Macaca mulatta: one gene and its partners. Each later gene encodes a partner of the first gene's protein in a complex. Links are inferred from orthologs where the notes say so. Each region holds a gene or a part of one and is shown in the gene's direction. Other genes may lie near its edges. The genes, in order: LSM4, LSM7 and USP39.

What was found.
Region 2: LSM4 (region 1) and LSM7 share a complex: the UniProt entries of both Homo sapiens proteins name them as parts of the precatalytic spliceosome. The link is inferred for Macaca mulatta from reciprocal best matches to the Homo sapiens genes LSM4 and LSM7.
Region 3: LSM4 (region 1) and USP39 share a complex: the UniProt entries of both Homo sapiens proteins name them as parts of the U4/U6-U5 tri-snRNP complex. The link is inferred for Macaca mulatta from reciprocal best matches to the Homo sapiens genes LSM4 and USP39.

Annotation. Positions count from the first base shown.
Region 1 is NC_133424.1:18,849,863-18,853,997, reverse strand, and holds the start of LSM4 (U6 snRNA-associated Sm-like protein LSm4), read left to right. Parts: upstream 1-1,235; 5' UTR 1,236-1,341; coding exon 1,342-1,344; intron 1,345-4,135. UniProt on the Homo sapiens protein: Plays a role in pre-mRNA splicing as component of the U4/U6-U5 tri-snRNP complex that is involved in spliceosome assembly, and as component of the precatalytic spliceosome (spliceosome B complex).
Region 2 is NC_133424.1:3,071,012-3,075,362, reverse strand, and holds the end of LSM7 (U6 snRNA-associated Sm-like protein LSm7), read left to right. Parts: intron 1-184; exon of another isoform or gene 185-343; intron 344-747; coding exon 748-819; intron 820-3,417; coding exon 3,418-3,560; 3' UTR 3,561-3,709; downstream 3,710-4,351. UniProt on the Homo sapiens protein: Plays a role in pre-mRNA splicing as component of the U4/U6-U5 tri-snRNP complex that is involved in spliceosome assembly, and as component of the precatalytic spliceosome (spliceosome B complex).
Region 3 is NC_133418.1:38,743,376-38,745,797, reverse strand, and holds the end of USP39 (ubiquitin carboxyl-terminal hydrolase 39), read left to right. Parts: intron 1-534; coding exon 535-621; intron 622-1,346; coding exon 1,347-1,394; 3' UTR 1,395-1,857; downstream 1,858-2,422.

The DNA of each region.
Region 1 (4,135 bases):
TCCCACCACTGCACTGTAGTCTGGGTGATAGAATGAGACTCCATTTCAAAAAAAAAAAAAAAAAAAAATAGGGTCTTTGCAGATGTAATTAAGGATCTTGCGATGACATTATCCTGAATTTATGGTGGGCTTAATAAGAGAAAGGCGTGTCCTTATAAGAAAACGGAGAGGCTGGGCTCGGTGGCTCACGCCTGTAATCCCAGCACTTTGGGAGGCAGAGGAGGGAGGATTGCTTGACCCCAAGAGTTCGAGACCAGCCTGGACAACATAGGGAGACCCTGTCTCTACAAAAAAAGAAAAAAAAAAGGAGAGAGTCGTTTGAGACTCAGAGACACACAGAGAAGGCCAAGTGACGACAGAGGCAGAACGCGGAAGGCTGCATCTACAAGCCAAGAACTCCGAGGTTTCCCAGCAGCCACCAGAACCCAGGAGAGAAGCATAGGACACGCAGATTGTCCTCAGAGCCTCCAGAGGGAGCCAACCCTACTGACAACCTCATTTCATTATTCTGGTCTCCTGAATTATGAGAAAATCACGTTCTGTTGTTTTAAGCCTCCCAGTGTGTGGGCATTTGTTACAGCAGGCCCCAGGGAACTAATAGCATTCGCCTATTTACTTTGTTTACTGTCTGTCTCCCTAAGGGCCACGAATTTTGTGTACTGTTCATTTCTATGAGCAGAAGCAGGCACAGAATAGGTATTAAGTACTTAATATATGCCAGACGCTGTTTTAAGTGCTTTTACACGGTTTCATTCATTTCATCCTCATAGTAAGTAACGTTTTGGAGCAGACACTACTATTTACAGGGAGAAAACTGAGGCCCCGAGGGTCGTGGTCAGGATTCCAACCTACTAAATGATGTTCCCTGGATAATTACAGAATCAGAAAACTAGGAGTCCGAAGGGCGACACCAGGGACGTCCCAATCACCACGAAGCCTGGATTTCTCTCCCTCAACTGCAAAGGCAGTTACTGGCTTTGCCCACAGCGTGGAGCCCAGAAGACCGACGAAGGTTTCACCTGCGCACGCGTTTACCCACAATGCACCCCGCCCCGGCGCGCGTTGCTCCGCCCCCTTTTGTATTACAAGCCGCGGCACTTTACGGCTCTCTTCCTCGTTCCTCTGGCGGGAACACGGCCCGGCCCGCCCCTTTCGCCTAGCGGGCCCCGCCCCACTCCGCGTGGATTGGTTAACCGCCCTTCTAGCCCGGTGCTGACTGGCTCGCGTCTCTGCCACTTTCTTTCAGCCCAGTGGCGCGCGGCGCGGCGTGGCGAAGACCGCCGGGAGCGTGTGCAGCGGCGGCGGCGGAAGTGGCCGGCGAGCCCGGTCCCCGCCGGCACCATGGTGAGGGCAGAGCAACGGCGGGGTCTCACCGGGAGGCGGGAACCGCAGTCGTTAGGAGCCCTGCGGGCGGGCGCTGAGGGCTGGGTTGGCGCGGGGCGAACGTACGGTCCGAGCCTTGAGTCCCGTCCCCCGGCACAAGGCCGGGAAACTGATGCTGGAGACTGCAGGTGGTTCTACCACGTTCGTGTCTGGGATTTAGGGTTGCACGTACTCGTATCCACAGTACAGTGGCCTCGCCTTACTTAGTTTTCCCATTTTGCAGGTTGGGAAACTGAGGTTAAAAAAGTGGGGATCTGCCAAATGCAACAGAGAGTTTTTGGGCAGGGAAGGGGGTCCCTTACGCTTCGGACCCAGTCTGACCTCCCAGATTGAAACCTAGAGTGCTGGGAAGTAGGGGGCCAGTCTGAGTTGTGAAACTTGGTTTTAGGAATTTCAGAGCTTGTAAGATGCTTAAAATGCTAGCAGCAGAGCCTCCTAGGCCTCTTGTTTTCTGGCTGAAAAGTAGGCCTGGTGCTGGGGTGTGGTGTTTCTCCTTGGTTCACAAAGCATGTCATTCCAGAGGAAGGGAGCGTTTTGAGCTAGGGGTGGGCAAAGTACATCCTCCCCGTACACAGAAGGAAAAATTGCAGCCCAGGTCTCTGCAGGGCCACATTGTTTATGATTCTGTAAGTTCTGGATCTGGGCTAGAAAGTGCCTGTGTCTCCCAGTGTGCAGATCAGAAAAGGAATCCAGAGCTGGGAGTTTCCTGGCTCATCAGCATCTGGCCCTTCTTTTTTCAATGAGAGAAACCAAGGCCCTTGTTGGGGATGTGACTTCCAGACTGTGAGACAGTGGGAGATTCAGTAACCAGGAGGGCCCCCCAGGGGTGGCTGCATCAGAACTGTGGATTAGTGAGAGAGCTCTCCCTAAATCCAGCTGGTCAGTGTGTAGCCACCCAACGGGTTCACCTTGCCTGCTTCCTAGACAGAGCCCATTTATCAAGACAGGGCAATTGCAATACAGAAAGAGTATTTCACACAGAGCCAGCTATGCAGGAGACTGGAGTTTTATTACTGCTGAAATCAGTCTCCCCTGAGCATTAGGGGATCCGAGTTTTTAAAGATAATTTGGCGGGTAGGAGCTCAGGAAGTGGGGAGTGCTGATTGGTTGGAGCTTCCTGAGGTTGGAGATGGAGTCATTGGCGGGGGGGGGGGGGGGGGGGGGGCGGGGGCGGGGGTTGAAGTGAGATTTTCTTGCTGTCTTCTGTTCCTGGGTGGGATTGCAGGACTGGTTGAGCCAAATTACTGGTCTGGGTGGTGTCAGCTGATCCACCAAGTACAGGGTCTGCAAAATATCTCAAACACTGATCTTAGATTTTATAATAGTGATGTTATCCCTAGGAGCAATTTGGGGAGGTTCAGACTCTTGCAGCCAGAGGCTGTATGACCCGTAAACAATAATTTCTAATCGTGCAGCTAATTTGTTAGTCCTACAAAGGCAGACTGGTCCCCAGGCAAGAAAAGGGTCTTTTCGGGAAAGGGCTATTACCAATTTTGTTTCAAACTATACACTAAATCCCTTCCCAAGGTTAGTTCGGCCTATGCCCAGGAATAAACAAGAACAGCTTAAAGGTTAGAAGCACGATGGAGTCGGTTAGGTCTGATCTCTTTTCGCTGTCATAATTTCCTCAGTTACAATTTTTGCAAAGGCGGTTTCAAGAGCAAGGATTTAGAGAGCCTGTCCCTCTGCCATGTACTTAGAGGGCAGAGTTGGCATGCAAGACTGGGCAGAGCTGGAAGGATCCACCCGTGTTAAGTTTTGTGGAAGCAGAATCTTTTTTTTTCTTCCAACTATATTCCCAGTGTGTAGAACGGTGCCTGGGCAAAGTGTGAACTCATTCATTCAGCCCCTTCCCACCTTCTGAACATCCAGAGTCCTGGCTATCCAGCCATTTCCTGGAGGAGTGGCCAAGAATGGACAAGGCATCATGGGATACACACTTCCAGTTCCCTGTGATCAGGGCAGGGCCAGAAGGAGTGGCCTGGGTTAGGAGCGGGGATGGGCAGTCCTGGACAGCTTCCTGAATTAGGAGGCACTGGATTAGGTCTTTGTGGATCTAGACCTGAGAACCAGATTCCAGATGCTGCAAGAAAGCCCACTAAACCTCCACCTCTCGGAGAGAGTGATTTTCCTGCCTCAGCCTCCCAAGTAGCTTGGGATCACAGGCATGCGCCACCACGCCTGGATAATTTGTGTATTTTCAGTAGAGATGGGGTTTCACCATGTTGGCTAGGCTAGTCTTGAACCCCTGACCTCAGGTGATCCACCCACCTCGGTGTGTCAAAGTGCTGGTATTACAGGTGTGAGCCACTGCACTCTGTACTTTTTTTTCTTTTTTGGAACTGAGCTCTCACTGTCGTCCAGGCTGGAGTGCAATGGCACAATCACTGCAGCCTCAACCTCACCGGCCCAAGTGATCCTCCCACCTCAGCCTCCCAAGTAGCTGGGACCACATGCGTCACTAAACCTGTCTAATTCTTACATTTTTTGTAGAGACAGAATCTTGCTGTGTTGCCCAAGCTGGTCTCATACTCCTGGGCTCAAGTGATCCTCCCACCTCAGCCTCCCAAAGTGCTGTGATTATAGGCGCAAGCCACTGTGCCAAGCCTCACCTGGCACTTTGATGTATCTTCTTTTAAGATTTTGAGGATCCACCCCTTCCTCTGACCTCTTTCTCCAACAGAGTTTGGAGATGAGGATATAGGAGAAATCAAGATATATGGTCACAGCCCCAGGCCATTGCAGCCTTGGA
Region 2 (4,351 bases), about 16 Mb from region 1:
ACCGCTGTCCCAGCAGAGCACTCCGTCTCCCCTAGAGGAAGCCCTGTCCCCATCAGCTGTCACTGCCTGTCGCCTCTCCGGCACCCACACATCCCCTCCCTGTCTCTGTGGATTGGCCTGTCCTGGACCTTTCATAGAAACGGGATCACACGCTGCGCGGCCTTCTGTGGCTGGCGTCTCTCACCGAGCGTGGCGTCCTCAGGCGCGTCCTCAGGCACATCCGCACCGCGGCCTGCGCCAGCCTCGCTCCTCTTCCCGGCTGGTGGTTCCACCGCATGCATGTGCCGCGGCCTGTTTTGCTACTGTTTTGGAGCGGAGAATTGTTTTTATGACTTTTAAATATCTGGAAAGGGATCAAAAGAAGACTGTCTCATGATGTGGAAGTGATACGAAATTCCCGTTTCAGTGCCTGTGTGTCGAGCTGACTGGCCACGGTTCAGCCACACGTGGACTCATCACCGAAGCTGCTTCCACCCAGGCAGCCCGAGCCAGCAGCTGTGACCGGCACCCTGTGGCCCACACGGCCAGAAGTGTTTGTCCTCTAGCCCCCCGCAGACACAGTCGGCTGCCCATGGTGGGGGTCACTCTGGAGGCGCCTGTCACCAGCCCCTCCCGGGAGCCCTCCCCCACCCTCAGTCCTCCATCCCTGAAGCAGTGAGCCCCATGCCTGGGCCACGCTGGGGCAGGCCGTGTACCCAAGATGGATCTCATGCCTTCTCATTTCTCTCCCCCGGTGATTTCTCCAAGCCAGTGGAATCCTGAAGGGCTTCGACCCACTCCTCAACCTTGTGCTGGACGGCACCATTGAGTACATGCGAGGTGAGTGGGGCGGTGGCTGAGGCGGGCAGCGGGATGAGGAGGGCAGTGGGGTGAGGGGGCAGCAGGGCAAGGGAGGCGGCCATGGAGCTGCCTGCTGCCTCTTCCTCCCTGAAACCCACAAAACCTCACTCTGAGGCACCAACGTGAAGCCTTGTGTTGGCCGATGGACGGGCTGAGCGCTCACCGGTCCTGGACGTCCTCACAAAGCTGGAAACTCCATTGTTGTGGGGCCTGGAGAGACGGGGAAGCTTCCCCACTGGTCTCTACATACTGACAGGGCACTTAAAATGCTCGCAGCACAGTTAGAGGACAGGCTTTTTAAATGTTGTATTATTTCAGTTTTTGTTAAACTGGTGTCGCGAGGGGCCGGGCACGGTGGCTCACACCTGTAATCCCAGCTGCTCGGGAGGCTGAGGCAGGAGAATCGCTTGAACCCGGGAGGCGGAAGCTGCAGTGAGCCAAGATGGTGCAACTGCACTCCAGCCTGAGAAACAGAGTAAGACTCCGTCTCCAAAAAAAAGAGATAAGCTGAGGTCTCACTGTGTTGCCCAGGCTGGTCTCAAACTCCTGGGCTCACGCCATCCCCCTGCTTCAGCCTCCCAAAGTGCTGGGGTTCCAGGTGTGAGCTGTGGCACCCAGCCGAGAGCAGCCTTGCTGTGGGAGAGCGAGCGTGCTGTGGGACCCCTCTCGGGCCCCTCTCCTCTTCTGCCTTGTTAATCCCCACTATGAACGCAGGGCCCCCATCCCCTCCCCAGAGAACACTCCCTCATTTCCCTGCCCCTGCTCGCTCTCCTCCCCAGTGAGGCCGCCAGGTCCTCAGACTCTCCCCGCTAGAAGATCCTGCTGCAAGTCCCCAGCCCGGCCCAGGCATCGGGGGGAGGCCAGGACTTAGAAAGAGACAGTCTTACCCCTCGGACCCATTGATACTGACACAAGATTTATTCTTGGAGCTGGCCACGGTGGCTCATGCCTGTAATCCCTGCACTTTGGGAGGCCGGGACAGGAGGATCACTTGAGCCCAGGAATTTGAGACCAACCTGGGCAACATACTGGGACCCTGTCTCTACAAAAAAACAAAAAAAAAATGAATTAGCCAGGCATGACGGTGCATGTGCCTATGGCCCCAGCTACTCGGGAGGCGAAGGCAGGAGGATTGCTTGAGCCCAGGAGGTTGGGGCTGTGAGCTGGGATGACGCTACTGCACTCCAGCCTGAGGGACAGAGCAAGACCTGGTCTCTAAAACAAAAATGTTAAAAACCTGGGCCCCGTGGTTCTCCCATGCCCCCACCAGCACACGACCACAGTAGTGAGGAGTTTTCATTGCCGTCAGCCTCTTCAGAGCTTGTCTTGGGCTTGCTGGTACTTCCCTGGGGTGCCAGCCCACATGATCCCCACGTGGGTCCCACCCACATGAACAGCCTCTTTTTTTTTTTTTTTTTTTTTTGAGACAGTATCTCACTGTCACCAGGCTGGAGTGCAGTGGCGCCATCTCAGCTCACTGTAATCTCCGCCTCCCGGGTTCAAGCGATTCTCCTGCCTCAGCCTCCCGAGTAGATGGACTACAGGCGCCTGCCACCACACTCAGCTAATTTGTTGTATTTTTAGTAGAGGCCAAGTTTCACCATGTTGGCCAGGATGGTCTCAATTTCTTGACCTCGTGATCTGCCCACCTCAGCCTCTCAAAGTGCTGGGATTATAGGCGTGAGCCACTGCACCCAGCCCAGCCGCTTTTTTTTTTTTTTTCTTTCTGAGACGGAGTCTAGCTCTGTCGCCCAGGCTGGAGTGCAGTGGCCGGATCTCAGCTCACTGCAAGCTCCGCCTCCTGGGTTTACACCATTCTCCTGCCTCAGCCTCCCGAGTAACTGGGACTACAGGCTCCCGCCACCTCGCCTGGGTGTTTTTTTGTATTTTTTAGTAGAGATGGGGTTTCACCGTGTTAGCCAGGATGGTCTCAATCTCCTGACCTCGTGATCCGCCCGTCTCGGCCTCCCAAAGTGCTGGGATTACAGGCTTGAGCCACTGCGCCCGGCCAATTTTTTTGTATTTTTAGTAGAGATGGGGTTTCACCGTGTTAGCCAGGATGGTCTTGAATCTCCTGACCTCGTGACCTACCCGCCTCGGCCTCCCAAAGTGCTGGGATTACAGGCGTGAGCCACCGCACCCAGGCCCCAGCCTCTTATAGGGTGAAAATTGGCCCCCTAGGGTTCCAGGAACCCTGCAGAGACCAGGAGGCCCGGGGTGCCTGTATTCTGGCTGGCCATCTGATAACCTGGTCCCCAGCCCTGGTGCCTGGGCTCCAGTGAGCTCCAAGACCCAGGGTAGCCGGCTGTCGCTCAGGCCTCCCTGTTCCTGTGGTTTGTGGAGTGAGGGCAGGCTGTGGCTGCTGTCTGTGGAGCTGTCGCTGGTCTCTAGGGGCTGTGGGTCTGAGCCATGGGAGCCGGGGACCTGCCCCGCAGAGTGCACCCCCTCTGGGGTCCCCACATGCTCATGGCACCCGCAGGGTGCAGGTGGGGAGGGCGGAGCGAGGGTCTTGTGTCGGTGGGAATTCTCAGAGGCCTCCTGGAGCTCCCTCAGCCCTCTCTGTCTGCTCCTTCCCAGACCCTGACGACCAGTACAAGCTCACGGAGGACACCCGGCAGCTAGGCCTCGTGGTGTGCCGGGGCACGTCTGTGGTGCTGATCTGCCCGCAGGACGGCATGGAGGCCATCCCCAACCCCTTCATCCAGCAGCAGGACGCGTAGCCGGGCCAGGGCTGCAGGACAGGCCGGAGCAGCTTGGTTCCCCACAGACTTGGCCGCCGTTCCCACCACGGTGCCACCTGCTGGAACGGAAGTGCTTTCCTTTTTGTATAGGTTGAATTTTTGTTTTCTTAATAAAACTGCAAACCTCATTGTGTTTGAGCCCCAGAATCTTGCTTTTCCCTTGACCTTCTGAGGAAACCTGTATTCTTGGAGATTGGACTCAGACCCTGGAGCTCATCAAATACCAGCCATGGTCCTTCCTGGGGGTGAGGGTTCACAGGTGACCAAGGCAGGTACAGGCAAGGCCGGGACAGGCGAGTCAGGAGCCTCAGTCCGATGAGGGGCTTGTGGAACCCCAGGCCAACCCCTGAGACAGCAGGAGCCGGGTGCATCAGGAGGGTGGGTGCATCAGGAGGGTGGGTGCATCAGGAGGGTGGGTGCATCAGGAGGGTGGGTGCATCAGGAGGGTGGGTGCATCAGGAGGGTGGGTGCATCAGGAGGGTGGGGTGCATCAGGAGGGTGGGGTGCATCAGGAGGGTGGGTGCATCAGGAGGGTGGGTGCATCAGGAGGGTGGGTGCATCAGGAGGGTGGGGTGTATCAGGAGGGTGGGTGCATCAGGAGGGTGGGGTGTATCAGGAGGGTGGGGTGTATCAGGAGGGGGGGTGTATCAGGAGGGTGGGTGTATCAGGAGGGTGGGTGCATCAGGAGGGTGGGGTGTATCAGGAGGGTGGGGTGTATCAGGAGGGTGGGTGTATCAGGAGGGTGGGGTGCATCAGGAGGTGGGTGCATC
Region 3 (2,422 bases), on another chromosome or scaffold:
AACTGTACTTTAAAAAATTGAGTTTGCCATGATTGACACATCAAAAGTCCTGTTAATTGAATCAGGCCCACAGAAGTCATGTACCCTCTGTTTTTTTTTTTTTTTTTTTGAGACAGAGTCTCGCTCTGTCACCCAGGCTGGAGTATAGTGGTGCAATCTCGGCTCACTGCAAGCTCCGCCTCCCAGGTTCACGCCATTCTCCTGCCTCAGCCTCTTGAGGAGCTGGGACTACAGGCGCCCGCCACCACGTCCAGCTGATTTTTTGTATTTTAAGTAGAGATGGGGTTTCATCGTGTTAGCCAGGATGGTCTTGATCTCCTGCCCTTGTGATCCACCCGCATCGGCCTCCAAAAGTGCTGAGATTACAGGCGTGAGCCACCACGCCCGGCCCATGTACTCTCTTCTTTATGATTCTTGCTGGATGATGTCTAGTGGCTATTATTCTAATTTTTCTAACCTTGGCTATGATCATTTCCTTCTACACCCTTTTGGTTTTAGAGAGCAGACTAACCCAGCTCTTCATACTTTCTGCAGGGGACAGGCAAATGGTATGAATTACAAGACCTCCAGGTGACTGACATCCTTCCCCAGATGATCACACTGTCAGAGGCTTACATTCAGGTGGGTTGGCCACAGGCTTAGTGAGCCACAAATAGGTGGGGTATGGGGCCAGTGAGAGGAGTGGGCCAAGGCAGGAAGAGGGATAGAGTTAGGACCTTGGTTGGAGGGCCAGGTACCTGTTGGGAAGTACTTAGGAGTGAGTTGGGGCCAGAATATATGGCCCTGAAAGTCAAGCAGAGATTTTCAGAAAATAGTTATAAGAAAATGTATGAGTGAGCAAAGAAAGTTGTGATTATGGCTAGATTAGTTTTGCAGAAGTGTGCGGTCTAGTTTCAAGGAGGAAGGGAGGCTGGCTAGAAGTCGACTGTGAAGTACTCCTCAAGAGCCCCAGGCAGAGCTCTCTTTGTGACCCCACAGCACTTTCTGCTTGCCTTTTGTTTTAGTGCCGACCATATTGCTTTGCCTGTCTGTCCTCTCCATTGGATTGACCCGTGGAGCACAGAGCATCTCTGTCTTCTCTTTATGTAACTGCCCTAGTACCTGGCAAAAGAAGGAAGATTGAGACAAAAGCCATAGCTTTGTAAGAAGAAAGTGATACCTCTCCTAGAGATAACTGTTTCTTCCCTTCAGTGACTGTAGCCACTGTAGCAGATTTCCAGATGGAGTATAGCAGGTTTGTAAATGGCATGACGAGTTATCCATGGCCTGGCACAGAATAGGTATTTGACAAGTATCTGTTGACTGAATGCCTCCTAGACTTCAGTTTGTGTTTTCATTTCTTACAGATTTGGAAGAGGCGAGATAATGATGAAACCAACCAGCAGGGGGCTTGAAGGAGGCGTCCAGGGCTTTGCTTCCGAGGGCTGTGGCTGATGATGGTAAATAAGAACACAGAAGCTGTAGCTATTCAGCTACAGGCTGACTGGGGGCCTCCCTGGGCCAGCCCAGCTTGTATGGATTCTGGCTACACCAGAGCACCAGGAGCCCACTTGCCTGGGATGGCCCCACACTGTCACCCAGCTGTTCTTTGATCATTTTTTTCTAGATTAATGCTCCTTTCTCCCATGCATCGAGCTCCCTTCTAGCTTCAGCAGGGCAGAACCCTTCTCCAGATGTGTGTAACTTATGTCTGAGTATCTGGGAGTAGCTGAAGAACAGATAATTTCTTCCAAACATCAAGCCTTGGGATTCTTGGAGCAAGCAGAAAGCCAGTAACCTCACTCTTGTCTGTTAGAGGTGGAGGATTTTCCTATGGTTTCCTTCATTTCCTGATGTGTATTTTTAGATGGATTAAATATTCTCCTGTTTTTAAACTAGCCTCTTGTTTTATATCTTTTCATTTGGTGGTTAGCTGAGGAAAATATTTTCCTTTTTAATCTTCACAAACTACCCTACAGTCTGACATCTGGCAGACACCATGCTCGCCGTTTCCTGTCAGCTTGTGGGTGGTGTGTCAGTTAGGATGCATTTATTTCTAAGTAGAAAAATGCTTGAGTCAAGGGGATACATTATTATTGTGCTTAACTAGAAGGCCAGAGGTGGGCAGTCTCCGGCTGCAGTGCAGGAATGAGTAAGGGAAGAGGAAAGAAAGGAAATACGAAGTTCTTCTCACTACAGTGCAATTCTGAGAAGGTCTCAACCAGGCCAGTGTGGAGCCCCAGGGCAAAGATTCCCTGTCAGACAATTCATCAGCTCTGTAGTGGGCTCTAGCAGCCTAGAAGAAGGGTGACCTTGGCATGAGCACTGTGGCAGGTCCAAAGATGTGGGAAGCAGCTGGAGGCAGCCAGTCAGCCTCAGCAAGTTCTCTTGAAGGGAGACAGGAGCCGTGTATTCCTGTGGTGCCACCCTTTACCTGGACACA